Linked DNA regions of Oreochromis niloticus. The protein of the gene in region 2 binds, or shares a complex with, the protein of the main gene of each other region. Links are inferred from orthologs where the notes say so. Each region holds a gene or a part of one and is shown on either strand. Other genes may lie near its edges.

The links.
Region 1: med12 (region 2) and med7 share a complex: the UniProt entries of both Homo sapiens proteins name them as parts of the mediator complex. The link is inferred for Oreochromis niloticus from reciprocal best matches to the Homo sapiens genes MED12 and MED7.

The regions. Positions count from the first base shown.
Region 1 is NC_031966.2:30,305,839-30,313,825, forward strand, and holds med7 (mediator of RNA polymerase II transcription subunit 7), read right to left. Parts: upstream 3,560-7,987; 5' UTR 3,387-3,559; intron 2,673-3,386; 5' UTR 2,664-2,672; coding exon 1,902-2,663; 3' UTR 360-1,901; downstream 1-359. Other genes in the region: itk (tyrosine-protein kinase ITK/TSK), read left to right, coding at 5,497-5,634, 5,725-5,829, 5,984-6,065, 6,206-6,331, 6,555-6,592, 7,338-7,489, 7,603-7,668, 7,789-7,843. UniProt on the Homo sapiens protein: Component of the Mediator complex, a coactivator involved in the regulated transcription of nearly all RNA polymerase II-dependent genes.
Region 2 is NC_031966.2:17,413,930-17,422,034, reverse strand, and holds the start of med12 (mediator of RNA polymerase II transcription subunit 12), read right to left. Parts: upstream 3,527-8,105; 5' UTR 3,457-3,526; coding exon 3,355-3,456; intron 2,646-3,354; coding exon 2,541-2,645; intron 2,429-2,540; coding exon 2,237-2,428; intron 1-2,236. Other genes in the region: wu:fb13g09 (multidrug resistance-associated protein 5), read right to left, coding at 7,177-7,269, 8,026-8,105. UniProt on the Homo sapiens protein: Component of the Mediator complex, a coactivator involved in the regulated transcription of nearly all RNA polymerase II-dependent genes.

The DNA.
Region 1 (7,987 bases), about 13 Mb from region 2:
ACTGAGGGTAATAACTTCCGAGGGGGTGCGGTGAAAGGATCAGTGCATATTACCTGTTCATGTCCATCCTGTTTGACATTTAAAAACAAAGGTCAACACAAACACAGTTTAAAGTCTATGCTCAGCTAAAAATTTGCATAAGGTTTGTGCCATTACATCATTACATAAAATGCAGAGCATTTGCAACTAGCCAAATACACATACTCTTTAGCCCTGTCTCGGAGCAACACACATTACGATTCTTGGCTGCCTAAAAAAAACAGCACAGACGTTAGAACGGATATCCTTGATGAATTCTCAGAGAAACAACATTTTGTCATCTTTTCAAAAAAAAAAAAAAAAATAGGCCAAAACACATCTTGTGTATCACGCACTGATTTATTGAACTTCTGCAAGTTACATAGACGCCTCAGCTAACATCACAGAAACGCAAGTAGTGAAATCTGCGCTGCAATCACCAGCCTGAAGTGTATTTTCAGTTTCAACAACCAAACGTGCATTTGCAATTGCTTTACAAGCAGCCAGTTGAAATGCTCACATTTCTGTCCCCGAACAGTTGTGTAAGAGCAATCTGCTGCAAGGCAACACAAAACTGGTTATACTGTTAGGTATGCTTATGAAAACCTATAAAACGGGGAAGGGGAGGGGGTCAGAATTATTCGACATTTTACATAATATACATGATGACTTTTGTGTGACGACTCTCCATGGATTACACAACCTGCAAATCAGTGACAAGAATCATGCATTGCAAACATAAAGGCAGTCCAGCATTTACATGAGCTTTCATGCGACTCTGCTCTGACGGGTCTAATAAAGCCGTCTATGTTTCTGTGACATTACTGCACTCTGACTGCAAATTTGTTTATTGGGTTTATTACAATAATGCAAACTTAGCTTACCTGCTAACTGTGTTAATATTTCTATTCTGGGAATACGTTTTCAGGAATTAGAATTTCTACATTTTAAATAACATTCAATGGGACGTGTGAAAACACAGCTAACACCCTCACATGTCCATTTCTGACATTCACACCTTTTCTGTTAATTTGACAGCATTTATTGTCATAGTTTCAAGTTTCGTGGGTGAACGAGTACACTGGTCACTTCTAAATAAAGGTTTAGGCATCAGCCTTACTGTGTGGTACCTAGTAAAACAGCACAAACGTGAATGAATGCGGTCACATTAACTGACACACATGGACAAGAGCATGACTGTGCATTTCTCTTGCTCAAGTGCTCATCTTATTAGACCAGCAGTTCTCACACTACCTGCATGATGGGAAACACTGGTGCGGTATAATCAACCAGGTGAAGTGAAACTTGAGTGGATTTTTTTTTTCTTAATGTGACCTTTAAGTAAAACTTTTTTTCTTAGTGGTTGAATAAAAACTGGAGTTTGGGGATTAACATTAAACATACTAGAAAAACTTTGAGAACCGATGCACTTGAGAAAACCATAAACAGCCAAGATATTGCACCCAACATTTTATCTCATCAGCTCTGTTTCAAGCTAACAGTAAGAAACATTCGTCAATGATGCGTTTTGAAATTCCCCAAGTCAGAAGAGAGGTCACCGAGCATCTTGATTTACTACTGATAATTCTTGAGGCCCCAGGCGCACATCTTTTATGTGTATAGCAAAAACCACAGGTATAACATGTTCACTCTCTAAATCACTCTTGTGCATGAAACCATGAGAACAGAGATGTATTACAAGCATATACAGCATAACTCAACAGCAGAATGCAGTCATGTTGAAGACTTATGGAACAAAGAGCAGTGACATAACCAGTTATAAAAACAAAGAACAAAAATATTCTGTATATCATGTACGAAAGGGCCATATTTACACAGAGTTCAGCAAAGAAACGACAAAAAAGAAAGAACATAATATTAAACTATGCTAGTTCATCAATAATGCTGCACATGGCAGCGTCCTTGTCCCATTTGTCACTCCTTGAAGTAGGGATGCTCTTCTCCTGCTGACTCGTTGCCATGCAGCTGGCAGCTGCTTCCTCTATATCCATAGGTTCCGTTTTCAGTCTGGTGGCCTGCCCAGAGGAACAGCCAACAGTAGCTGCAGGAGGCGCATTCTTTGTCCCATCACAAGCACCATCCTGACCTTCCACTTGAGGCAAGTCATCAGGCAGGGAGGCAAGGCACCCCTGGATCATCTCCACCACCCTCTCCAGATGTTTCTGGAACCTCTCTGCTGTCTCTAGCCTCTGTCTCTTCTGGACCTCCATCATCACCCTTAGTGTCTCCCTGGCTTGATGCGGCCTGTACTCATTTATCAGATGGTGCATATGGACAAACAGAAGCTTTATGTCCTCCAGCTTCTCTTCACGCTTTATACTACCAGGGCTCTTGATAAGGATGTCCAGAAGGTCCAAAAAGTTCACAAGAATGGACATGTTCAGTTTCTTGAGCTCCCGTTTGTGGTCAAACTGCATAGGGTGAAGCCTCTCAATGCCTTGGCTTTCCAGAGGCCGGATGATGAGGTCATCACATTGGAAATGGTTGCCAAACATCATGTAATTATCTCTGATGGGTGGAGGTGGCTTAGGGGCCAGACCCTTGCGGATGTTTTCATCTGTGTATTCTTTGATGTACTGCATCGGTGGAGGAGGCAGGGCGCTGACCTGCTGTGGTTCACCCATGATGCCGACCTGAAAGCACAAGGATCCATTTCAATATATATAAAAAACGAACACAACATACCAAATTGCAAAACCTAATGTATATTCATTAAACAAAAAAAACCCAAACCAAACCAAAACAGTGTTTACAGTTCACAGTAGATGAACACAAACGTTAATTTAGGCTATATGCCTAAATATAACAGAACGTTCATCAGTGTCATTAGTAAGTCTCCGGTTTACCTACTGTTACACACAAAAAATAGTGTAGTGAAAAGGTCTCTCTCTCACTTCCCTATTGGGGGCACAAGTAGACAAGGAGCAGGATGTTTGCGGCAAAAAGACGGCATAGCTTTTTAATTGCAGAGACGTTAGCTGTGTCTAAATAGCTTGCTTGCACTAACTCCAAACAAATTCAGTGTTTGTTTGAGACCATCGCTTCGGAAGATGTGCTAAGAGGCCTATGCTAGCACAAACTGCCCAGCCAGTTGTCTGTAAGGTAAATATCTGCATATAAGACTTATGTTAAACGCTGTCTGGATGGGAATAGAGTTGAGTGAAGACTACCATTTACTGTCGCAAACCTTCGTTTTATCAACATGTTAGCCCTTTACTCGCCAACTAACTGCAGTCGTTAGCTTACCAGCTAACTGACTAACTAACTGCTAACCTCCGCTAAAGAGTGAAATCGCTACACCAAATATAATGCTAACCCACAATACCGTTAAAAAGGGGAAGACTTACGATATTTATACACACCTTTCAAATAACTCTTTAGTCGCTGAAGATATAAGACGATAGACGTCTGTTAGGTCCGACTATTAGCTTGTAGCTAGTTTAGCTCCTTCCATTCCACACTAACAAGATTTTCGTTTCAGTCCCAAAGCTATTGGCTCGACGTCATTGGTTTTTGTCCCGCGGATTGGACGATAGCAATCAAACAAACTAAACACCGATTGGGTGCGAGGATACCACGCTTGAGCTTGTAGTTTTTGATAGTAAATTGCTTAATTTGAAGCTTATTTTGTACAGGACTGATGTGTTTTTACAATAGTGACCATCTCCAGCACCTGTTATCATTTTGTAATGTCAAATATTTTTCTAGTTAAAGCAAACCAGCAGTTTACAACGCCACCAATACTTTTAAGAGGTAAATAAAATGTGGAAGAAAATTACAATAGATATAAACTATTAGGAATACAAGAGACAAAAGCTTAAAAATGCAAGGATCTATTCTTAAGGTTGTGTCAGTATAACACAATTTTCTAAACTTTCCTTTGTTTTTTGTTTTTCCCCCAATTGTCACCTATGTATGGCTTAAAACAAGAAGAAGAGTAAAATACAGTTGAATTTTTTTAAACACTATAGTTTATCGAGCATCTGAAGTTCACCCTTCTGATTCTGTCACATCTTTAAAACAAATGAAAACTTTCCACATTTTTAGTTTGGAGCTTTAGATTTAGAAAATAAATTATTTAGTGTGACACAGTCCTTCACATCTACTTTTACACTTATTTTACACTTATTTACATACAGCATGACAAATATTCTCTTTTATTAAATACTCATATGGAACAAAATTGCTGAACAATTCCCATTCAACAGCACAGATGTTAACTCCTAAAAATGTTAAATTAAGGTATTTTCTGGAAATTTTTTTAGTTGACAAAAGAAAAAAGAGCCTTGAATTTTGACATTTACATTTACATTTACAGTTCAAACTGTATAAAAATATACAGTCAAAGCCGATTTTGTAATTTTGGCTTTTTGGATCTGTTTTGTTGTTGTTGTTGTTTTTTGACAATAAATAAATTAAATTAAATAAAAATGAAGTGGCAATCCCAACTCATCCAATCCACACCAAACTGTTGGAACACTTTCCTGGTGGTACACTTTCCTGGTGGTGGTGCTGTAGTATCCTTTAAATCTTCCTTTCAGTGTGACCGTAAAAATATTTTCAAATTTTAACTTTAACTAGATTTTTTTTCCATTCTAAGTTGACAGCACTACCTCGGCAGTTTGAAAACTTTCAGTCACTTTAAAATCATTAATGGAGCCCAACTATGTTCTTATTACCATATCATTACTGTTACAATATTATTGTTACTATATTATTAACCTGTATTATTATTAACCTTCTTTTCCTACACAAACCCCCAAAAAACAAGTAAAATATAAGGGAGAAAAAAGCAGTGATGGAGAAAAAACAGGGCAAATCCTAAAAGACATCATAAACATGTAACCCCAAACTCTAAATGTATTAATTATGGCAGGAAAAAAACAGATTTTGTGTGTGTGTGTGTTTCTTGCAATCTCACAATCTCAGTAAAAACTTTTGTTTTTTCCCCTATTACTTTCTTGTTTCAAGTTAAAATGATATGTGCCATTTTTTGCCCTCTTAGATTGAACCCCCCCTTTGCCCAATGCTGATATTATAACCCTAACCTCACTGTACTAGCGGGACACATTCGTGACCTTTGAAGTGAATGTTGATGGAAAGCGTTGAAAAATGTAAAGGTTAACGAGTCATCCTTTTTCTGTGGATCGCACTACTCATAGTGGCTGACTGCAATGTGCACTAAGTGAGTGAAAGTGCCTGCGAGCACCCTGAACTGTGTGTATGTGCGTGCACGCGAGTCTTTCGCTTGCACAACGCATTTGTTGCCGTAGGATGTGGTTTGCTGTGCAACAACCCTATGCCGGAAACGCTACGACATCTATCAACTTATCATCCTCAATTTTTTTTCTTGTACACTCACTGCTACTCTGTCTCTGCATGCTGTAGGCAATGCCGCCTCTCTTGGTATGACAAAACAAGGCAGTGTTTCTCATTGTGCTTCTCATAGCTGGTAAAATGTTCCCCAGGGTGATTTTGAAAGGAAATCTGATCAAAAAATCCCAACAAAAGAAGCGAGTGTCGCCCTGTAACTATAAGGAGAGATTTTTTGTGTTGGATACCCAAGACCTGAAGTATTCTGAACGTCGTCCCGGGGTAAGTACAGTATGTGCGGTTAATCTGTAGAGCTGTTTCAGAAACGCAGACTCTTGGCTGCTTGCTGTAATCTAAGCTGTTTTCTTCCAGAAAAAGCCTTTGCTGAAAGGTTGTATCGAGCTGTCCAGAATTAAGTGCGTGGAGATTGTGTGTACTGATGTGCCCATACCATGCAGCTTTAAGTACCCTTTTCAGGTAAGATTCATCATTTCCTAGAGACCAACTCAATTGTCACTGCATTAAAATCTACTAAACACTGCGTCATACACACTATATACAGTGTATGGTGAAGTATGACTGAAAACGACAACACATATAACCTTTTTTTAAAATCTCAATTCTTCTGCAGGTTTTTCATGACAGTTATTACCTCTACATATTTGCACCAGACAATGATTGCCGTCAGAAATGGGTCAGAGCTCTTAAAGAGGGTAAGCCATTACCATATATCACCAGTCAAATAATAATAATAGTACTATGACAAGTCGATGATAAACCGCTGATTGTATGAACTGCAAACACATACAGATGGATATTTCAAACAATATTTCCCTTGTTCTGTCTGGTGTAGAGACAAAGAATAACAACTTAGTTCCAAAATACCACCCAAACTTCTGGATGGATGGAAAATGGAGATGCTGCCAGCAAACAGAGAAACTGGCGAGTGGGTGCAACGTGTACGACCCAGTGGGCTATGGTTTGTAGCATTTCTTTTTCCTTCTCTTCTACTTTGTGAATCCAATGATTTGTGGAAGCGATTCCATTTAAATTCAGATGTTTGTATGGCTTTCGCACATATGGCTTGAGTAAACTTGAACTAAATGCTTTCAGTTTGCCTAATCCAGTTAAGATCGTTGTTGCTTTGTGAGTTTAGATGGGCCGAATAGCTCTCCAATTTAACATTTCTGTTTCCCCTACAGCCTCTAAAAAGCCGCTTCCCAGCCTCCCGGAGCCAGAGGTACCACCATCTAAAACACAAACGATACACGCTTTTGAAATGTTATTGTGGTTATTACTGATATTCTAATCAAGCGAGGTAGACCAAATCACTTTTTCAGTTTTATTGCCTGACATGTTTGGCTGCAATGCTTTTAAACACAGTTTCTCTCTACATATTTAATAATTAGGTCATGCATTGGCTTTTAACCACTATGTCTGTGGTTTGAGTTTGTGTGATCACTGCTCTGTTAACTGTCTTTGGTTCAGGCAGCAGCTCTATAGTTGTTTCAGCGCACATGTGTTTGAGTGTTTACTTAAAAAGATAGATATATAGATAGATAGAAAGTAATAGAAGTACATTAAAGTTTGTCAAATGAAAATCCTTGTTGATACTTTTTCCTATGGCACCATGAAAATGTAATTTCATTTGAAAGCGCTAGATTTCGTATTTGTGTACGAACTTTGTGGGAAGGGTTCACTCAGGCTTTCAATAATTTGTACCAGGTTATTTCCACCACCAAAAAAAAACATTTTCCTGATTGGCAGAGCTAAATTCAAAATTTGGGGTTATTATCGCAAAACTTCAGCTTCATGATTCTAAATATCAAGTTATTTTCTCATTTCATCTCAGAAGTTTAAGACAGTATGTCGAAATTTAGAGGCAGTAACCCGAAATTTTGACTTATGTTTGCCAAAAAAATGTTTTTTCAGCTTCCATACCTGTACAAATGGTTTTTAGATCTGATTTTTTCCTCCCTTTCCAGATGGAGCTGGAAGATTCGGGGCAACAGAAGGTCATTGCTTTGCAAAACTACACGCCACAGGGGGACAATGACTTACCTCTTCAGAAAGATCAGGAGTATCTCCTGGTTAAGAATTCCCATTCCATCTGGTGGCTTGTACAGGATGAAAGAGGGTAAAGCGCATTACAGCCAATACCTAATTCATTTGAACTGTTTACATTAAAAAATAGCAGTATATTATAAAATAAGAACCATTAGCTAAATCCCTTTTCCTGTCACTCATTAGGAACTCGGGTTTTGTGCCCAGTACGTTCGTAGCTGAAAAATCCATCAACAACTTTGAAAGATTTGAGTGAGTTTGAATTCATTTCTTTTACTCGATGCTTTTAATTTGCAGTGTTCATTTCTGCTAATGAATTACTTTGTTTTCCCTCCAAAACTGATTTAATTGTTGTTAATTTGTTCTCAACAGATGGTACAACAAAAACATTAGCAGAGCGCAAGCAGAAGAATTGTTAATGAAAGAGGTAAAAACAAAAAGTCAGTCCTGTTTGGCCATAAAAATTCCAAATAATGATTTTGATATGATGATGACAGGCAAGATTTAGCCCCTGTATGACACAGTGCATTTAGATGCGACTGTGCCGCCAAGAGCAATGTTGCATCTGCAA
Region 2 (8,105 bases):
GATTTAAATAATTTGAAATTAGTAAAATTTAGAAACTTGTATTTATCTAAAATTTGACAATGGTAATATGAAAAAGGTTTCTTATCTAATATTTTCAATGCTCTTTTGTAGCATACTTCGATTGGCCCACTAGCAGCAAAGCTCGTATAGGACCAACTTGTAATACAGTATTCAACATGACGGTATCATAGAGTGCAGGAATGTAATCGCTGCTGTGTCTGTTAATGATGTGCGGATATGTCTAAAGTTCTGTATATTAACATTTACAGTTTTCACTACTTTTTTAAAGGATAATTTCGAGTCTAGTAGCACTCCCAAATGCTTAAATTCCTCAACATTAATTAGTTCTTGTGCACCCACGCGAACTTTTACTGCAGCCACGGCTGTTTTAGGTTTACTAAAAAACATAGATACGGTCTTTTTAACATTAAGGCACAGGCATGAGTCATTCAGCCATTTTTGTAAATCATGTAATGCCAATGAAAGCTGATGGGCTGCATCATCAGCAGTTTTGGCTTGTGTAAAAATTACCGTATCATCAGCATACATAATCATGTCCACATTTTTGCACACATTGGACAAGTCACTTACATAAAGTGAAAATAACAGGGGGCCTAGAATTGAACCCTGAGGGACACCTTGCGTACAGTAAAGATAGGGTGACTTGCTATTCTTTATTTGCACGCATTGTTTTCTATCTGATAGATAAGACTGTATCCATTTAACGGTGTGATTACTGAAGTTAAATGTTGACAGTCTAGACAAGAGCTTAAGATGATTCACAGTGTCAAACGCACGCTTGAAATCAAGAAAAATAGCCACAACATAACTGCTCTTGTCTAAGTAAGACTTCACTCTCTCAACAAAAACATGGACAGCCGTTTCAGTTGAGTGAAGAGTGCGAAATCCAAACTGCATAGGGTGCAAACCCGGATTGGAGTCATTAAGATATTCGATGATAGAATTAGCAACCCACTTTTCTGCTATCTTTGAAAACATAGGGAGTATGCTAATAAGTCGATAATTAGCAGGGTCTGATTTATCACCCAATTTATAAATTGGTGTAACTTTTGCCACCTTCCAACTCAGAGGAACGACTGCCTGCGTGATTGATAAATTAATAAGATGGGTCACAGGCACCAAAAGACAAGATTTATAATGCTTCAAGAAATTCGTAGCAAATCCACACTCATCCCTTGCTTTAGAACTTTTTAATTTAGAGATTATATTTTCTACTTTCACTTACTGTAATTTTTTGAATGTTGAACTTTGAATCTTGAGAAGAAACATCCTTTTTGGTGTCGCTATTCCAAATATTTTGTTGAGGGTCATAAGAATTAGAAAATCATTTAATTTAGCAGCTAGGGTGAGAGGCTCTGATACCAGTTCATTGGCAAATTTAAGTTCATTGTCTTTATCAGCATTATGTTTACTGTTACCAAGGAGTTTGTTAATATTTTCCCAAATTAGCTTACAATTTCCTTTGGCACTATTAATTAGTCATGAAAAAAATTGCTTTTGCCATTCTCAAAGTTTGTGTGACTTTATTCCTTGCAGATATAAAATTTAATCGATCAGTATTTAATCCAGATTGTAACGATTTTTTAAATAGCTGGTCTCCGAGTCTCATAAGCTGTTTACACTCAGTATTAATCCAAGGCAAAGAATAAACTCGTTTCTTTAAATGGCTCTCTTTCTGAAACTGTGACAAGACCCCTTTAATAGAAGACTATAATAAATCACAACATTTATTAGTGTCATCATATTATAGTATACTAGTCCAATCAAAATTATTTAGAGCTGCCATTAAATGTCGTTCTTGACTATTTGAAATAAATGTTTTTTTTATATTCATGCTTTTACTGACGTCCCAGTCGCTATTAGTCAGCTTTCTGAAGAAGAATATGGCATTGTGGTCAGACCACTGCCTACCATCCCCCCAGTAGCTTTTCTGGCTACTGAAGCACATTCAAAATCATTAATAACTTTTCAGGTTCTCTTAACTTGAGGCTTTCCTCCTGCATGCTTTGGGAAGACTTAAAGTGTTGTTGTTGTTGTGATTTTGCTTCTCCACAGCCCAGGAATTTTAACTATGCTCTAATGTGTACTTACTTAATATCATAAATTTAAAAACAATTAACTCACTAACTAGGTGGCTTAATGACTTGTGCTCAACTAGGAAAGCAATTACATGAATACCCAATAATAAATAATAAACAAGGCTTTTAAGTTTTACCTTTTTAGCCAGCTGTGTCAGAGGTTTAGTCCCAGCTAAGTCCGTGAACCAGTTATTGATGGAGCTCTGTGACCTCGCTGTGACAAGCCAGAAATTATCCTTCTGGTTGACCTGTGGTTTACGCTTCCCTGTGTCTGGAAACGTGCTGTAGCGCAGCTTCTCTGCAATAATGCTGCTGAAGTTTGAGCTGATCTATAAAGAGAGAGGGGAACATGTAAGATGGCCAAAACCCAGCAGGGGGGAAAAATCTATCCAGTTGTGAATGGTGTGCTAGGGCAGGAGCTGTGTTAAAATGAGCCATTACCTTGGAAGGGTTGAAGTTGACATTTTTGGCACTGCCATGTTCATCACCGGATACAGCTGGTTGGTTATTGAATCCTTGCTTCACATTCAATGCAGTCAACTCATCCTGAAACACATTTCAGCGAAGAAAATTGATATTTTTCATGCGACGTTAGTGGTATAATTTGAGATCCTAGACCACTGAGAAAGTCGGGATGTGTGGTTGATTGGTTTTGCAGACATGAGGTAAACATAAATAACAATAAAAACATTTTTTAAATTATTATTGGGGAAACATAAAGAGTCACTTTTCCATTTGCATCAACAGATTACATCAGGTTATTGCTGGATATGAACGAAAAGGGATACCTCAGCTAGGCCAAACTCCAATCTAAAAACTCAGCAAATAATTTAGCTTCATTTACAGCTTGCTGGTAATAAAGGTTAGCTTTGAAGGTCTGGCTATTCGTAAAAACAAACCATATGGCTATTAAACAGCAATAGTCACGCACAATCCAAAACCGAGCGCATATTGTTTAAAACCACAAAGTAAGACAATGGCTGCAGTTTATATCAAACTGCAAAGCATCCGCCACCCAAAGAGTTAGCTTAGCAAACTCAGCGATCTTACCAAGTAGCTGCTTGTCAACTAAGCAGGGCAAGCTAGCTAACAAACTGACAACTAGGTTCTGTTCATTGTTATTGCTAGGCCCAGACCGTTCACAGGACTGCTAAGATTGACTAGCTAGTGTTAGCTCGCACAGCTCCTCTGCCGACAATTTTCCTCGAGAAAACGTTACTCCCGGCCGTTCATCGAGCACGTCGCCAAATCTGACCTCTTTTTGCTTTGGATCTTGCGGATAAACGTCCGGAGGGCCGAGTCGGGGCCGCTTTAATGGACGGTGTTCGTAACTTAAGATCCCGAAAGCAGCCATCATCCAGCGGCATCACAGCTAAGGCTTTCCTCCTTCCAGCAGCCTGGGGCGAGCTACAACAACCAAACTCACTTCCGGCAGGGTTCCAGTCGTGAACTTCAAAATAAAAGTCAAGGAAACTATATTGCATAAAAAGCTTTGTGCTTTTTAGTTACTCTAGTAAGTAAATAAAGAACAAATAATGTTTTTTTAGTCGTTTCCATGTTTTTCCTTTCTGATTAAAAGTGCGCTATTAAAAACACTCACGTGTGTTTGGTTATTAGGCTATTATATAATATTAGGTTTAATTAGGGGGTATTTAGCTTTAATGTCTGACTAAAAATTCTACATCCTGCATAATTTGTGGTCTCCCATTTAACCTTTAAAGCCTAGTCAACACACACGCACGCACACAGATATGATTACACATGTAAATGTAAATATACATGATTTATATACATGGTATAATAAGGCAAAATAAATTTGTACATCTCTAACTAACTGGAAAGTCAATATTTAGTATGAGCACTTTTATTCTTAAAAACAGTCCGAACTCAGGCAAGCTTTCTTGTAATTTCTTTAAGATGTCTTCAGAAATAATTTTCCAGAAAGGACGCTCCAAAGCTCTTGGATTTTGCCTCCCTTTTGTTCCATGACAAAGCGTACACCGTGTTTTACAGATGGCTATACACACTGACTGCATAAGAGCTCTGTGCAGTCCAGGTCTGTGTAATTTGGAATACCTCAGCTGTTTCTCCCTGTTCTTTCAGAATGGCTTCATGACAGCTACCCTGACACTGAGACCACTTATAATGAGGCTTTGGCGAACAGTAAATGGATCAACTCAAAGGCCAGATGCATCGGTCTGTTCCTTTGTCAGGTCTTTGCTGGATTTCCCCCCCATTTCTTAAAGATCTGCCATTTCTGCTCTTGTCCTCCACTTATCCAGTTTCCTTAATTTTTTTAAGAACACACAGGGCGCTCAGGACTTTGCCATATATACAACATGCGTCACTTAGCCCATTTTTATTCTGAAATAAATGAAAGAATGACCAAAAATGCTTGGATGCTATATTTAACTCCAGTTTCAGCACATTAACAGTTATCTCAGTGTAATATGAACATCTGTCCTTCCAGCTCGGACTGAGGAAGTCAGAGTTTTTAAGAAGAAAAAACTTCACAGTTAGTCAAACATTTCGAATATTTTCCTCCCCAAAAAATAAAATAAAAAGTTAAAACACAAAAACACTGTGGACACTCTTCAAGTATGCATTATGATGAAGGCAGCAGGTAAGGTTATTGTAAGGTGTGTGATGAGGAGGTAAATCCTGGGCAAAAAATCCTGACATTCTGAGTCTGATATGCAATCATTTGGGGGTCCGAGAAAACACACACAAAGGTTACTCCAAATGAAATGCAGTGTAATTTTTGCATTATGTGGAATAGTTCAAGTTTCATAAATTAATAGGTATTCCCTTTACTCCTGTGTGAAATTTCCCTACTTTGTAAGGAATTTATGTTATTTACCAACAGCTGTTTATGCCAGTTTGGTGGATTTTCATACTGCAGGAAGAGGTGACCAGATGGGAAAATCGTATGCTCTATTTGTTACTTTCATGTTTCTTCACTTGGAGTTGATCTCAAGGGTAAAAAAAGTGGATTTCTTAGTTTTGCTGAAGTGCATGTGGGCGGATTGTTGCTGAAATCTGCAGATTGGGGCTTTACACTTTTGAAATGGTCTCATAAAACCCCAATTTAACCTTTGCGTTTGTTGAAAGCCTGCATACAGTCTTGGAGGAGGCCTTAGATGTCATGTTGATGCGGGGTTATTCTGAAACAAAAGGCTTCACAATTCCCTAATGAGCTAATGGAATATTCATGATATAAATGTCTCTGTGACTTTTATAAAATAGACTGAAAAATAGGAGTCCACTGATACAGCGTGTCTCACTTACACTGGAAATGCTTTAAAATTCAGTACAACCAGATGTGTTTTGTATTCCATGCATTCTTTTCCCCTGCCAAAAACAAAAAAACACTGTGTCTGCAGTACCCACAATGCAAATCATGTTTACTGGTAGCATTGGCTACTATTTCCTCAGGCTAATAGCCTCAAGCGGGAATAAAGTGAGGGTGACAAAGGCCTGTAAGCTCACTTCTTTTAACTGATTCTCATTTTGAAACTTGTAGCTAACTCCAGGCAAGTCACACAGGGAAAAAATCATCAGATGTTTTGCTGCTAAGGAGCAACAAAACACTTTACAAAACTTTCTTTTTCCCTCTATACTATACTGACTGCTATTACTTTAACATATTGCAATTTCCTTTACCATTAAAACAAGAGTACCATGAAGCTACATACCTCAAGGCTTTCAGGCTGATAAAGACCTCCACAGCATGTATGAATCGAGTCTGGTAAATCAAAAGCATGTATCGAAATTATTTCAATGTGAAGATAAAACATGAATTGCCCTAGTTTGTTTTCTCGAGGAATGCAATAGATTCTTTCCAAAAATTCCTCTGGTAACACTTTCCTGCGTATACATTCATAACTTTTTGAGGAATCCAAAGAAACAAGTCAAACAACCACATAACATCCTTGATGGACATCTTATAAGAATAGACTAGACACATCACCAATAAATAAAAAATAAGTTTATTCAAAAAAAAAACCTCTTCATATCAAAAATCCCACATTTAACAAATTTATATTACAGCTTCACAATCTCAAGTGTACAAAGGCAATCTTGAAAATAAGGGATATTGCACTTTTCATGATTGTTCAACACATACTTGAAGGCAGAAGTCTGCAGTCCTCTCATGTGTGAAAACAGAACATGTACAGACACACCCTGATTGTTTTCAGCTTTGTTGCAAACCACACACCATACCTCAACACCTAAATGATCTTGCTGGTAAAACATTCAACTCCAGCATTTGAAAAGATGAGCTAATTTGAAAACACAGTGCTTGCATGCAGTCTAAAAAAAAAAGCATGCTTACATGGCTAACTCCATTATATAACCTGGAATTGTTTACAGGTCTAGGCACATATCACATCTGCAATAATTTACTGAAGTTATCTCATTATAGCAACAACAAAAAACACAAACATTTTAGCCTCTTTTGGAAAGTCATTTTGAGGAATGGATAGAAGATGATTTTTTCAAATATACTGCATTTAATAATTAATTCAAACAAATAAATTCCTGACATAAACAAATAAACATCAGTAGCATTGCAAATAAGAAATTAAATCTGATCCACACCATTTTCTGCCTAACATTAATTTCCCGGACTGTCAGGTTTCAGTCATGGAAATAAAACTAATTTAGTGTCTGACTGATTAACTGACCTCCAGAGAAAAAAAAGAACCATCCTACGTCCTTCCAAGTGTCCACATGACACATAAAGTGCTATTTGTCAGAGACACAGCTCTGTTTCACTTGCAGTTAATTGTTTGGCCCCCAGGAAACAACTCCTGTGACACGGCGGCAAAGAGCAGGTGGCTGATAGATCTCACTTAGCATACTGAGATTTGATGTGCTGTTAGGAAGTGCTGTCTCTGTGTCTTTGGTGAGGAAATAAACGGACACGGTTGCATGGACTAACCATCAGTGGATTTCTTTACTCATCATTTTCACACTTGGCAGGATTGGTGTGTGTGCATGTGTGCAAATCATTTATTCAGCTGGATATTTTGTAGGATCACAGCTCACGTCCAAAGTTCAGCTCCAGCGTGTTTTATCTGTTTTGGTTTTCTGATGCTTCTACCATGGCTCTAAATCTTGAGTTTTCATCTGCCAGCAAGGCAACGGGACTGTCAAACTCCAAAATCTACGAGAATGAAAAGGATAAAACAAAATCAGCACTTGCATATAAAATCTGCACATTATCTCCAAACTTACTCCAACCGAAGATATTTCCCAGCGGCAGTGTATGAAAAGCATTTCAATATGTGCGAAATATTGTCCTCAGACAGCCTTTGCTGCACTTTGTTGAATCACAAGTTCCTATAAGGAGTAGCGATCACTCCCGGCACACAGTGGCCGACACTGACTGTTTGAGCCATGTTGACATTATCAACAAGGCTCGAACAACAAGATATTTTGGGATCTTTTATAATACAGACAAAGCCAAAGATTACAAAATGGAAATTTAATTGTCTTTTAATGCAAAATGCATGAAGTAATGAACCATTTAGGTACATCTAATATTAATAAAACAACACGTTTATGAATGTCTGTGATTTTTTCATTCCACTGCACAGCCAAAAAATTGGGTGTAAATTCAAGCTATAAATCTTGTCTCTTCTGATGCATCCATCTTATTTTACTCTACATACTGATGCCAAAAATGCAAACTCAACTTATTAAGGGATAAGGGCTGAAACACATAAACTGCTGACTACTTGTGTGCATTTCATGTTATCAGCTAGCATCAAAAGTCTTGAAAACTGCTCAAGTGAAATATGAACCGCCTCATCCCATCAGTCATATCAAACACACAGTAATTTAGGGAATATCACATCAACGATTGAGTTTCAACCACTGGACCGAGTTTCACAGTCAGACATACTGCATTTATATTCACCTGGCCGTTGTTCATGACCATGACTCTGCTGCAGCTCATCACTGTGTTGAGACGATGGGCGATGATGAGAGTAGTGCAGC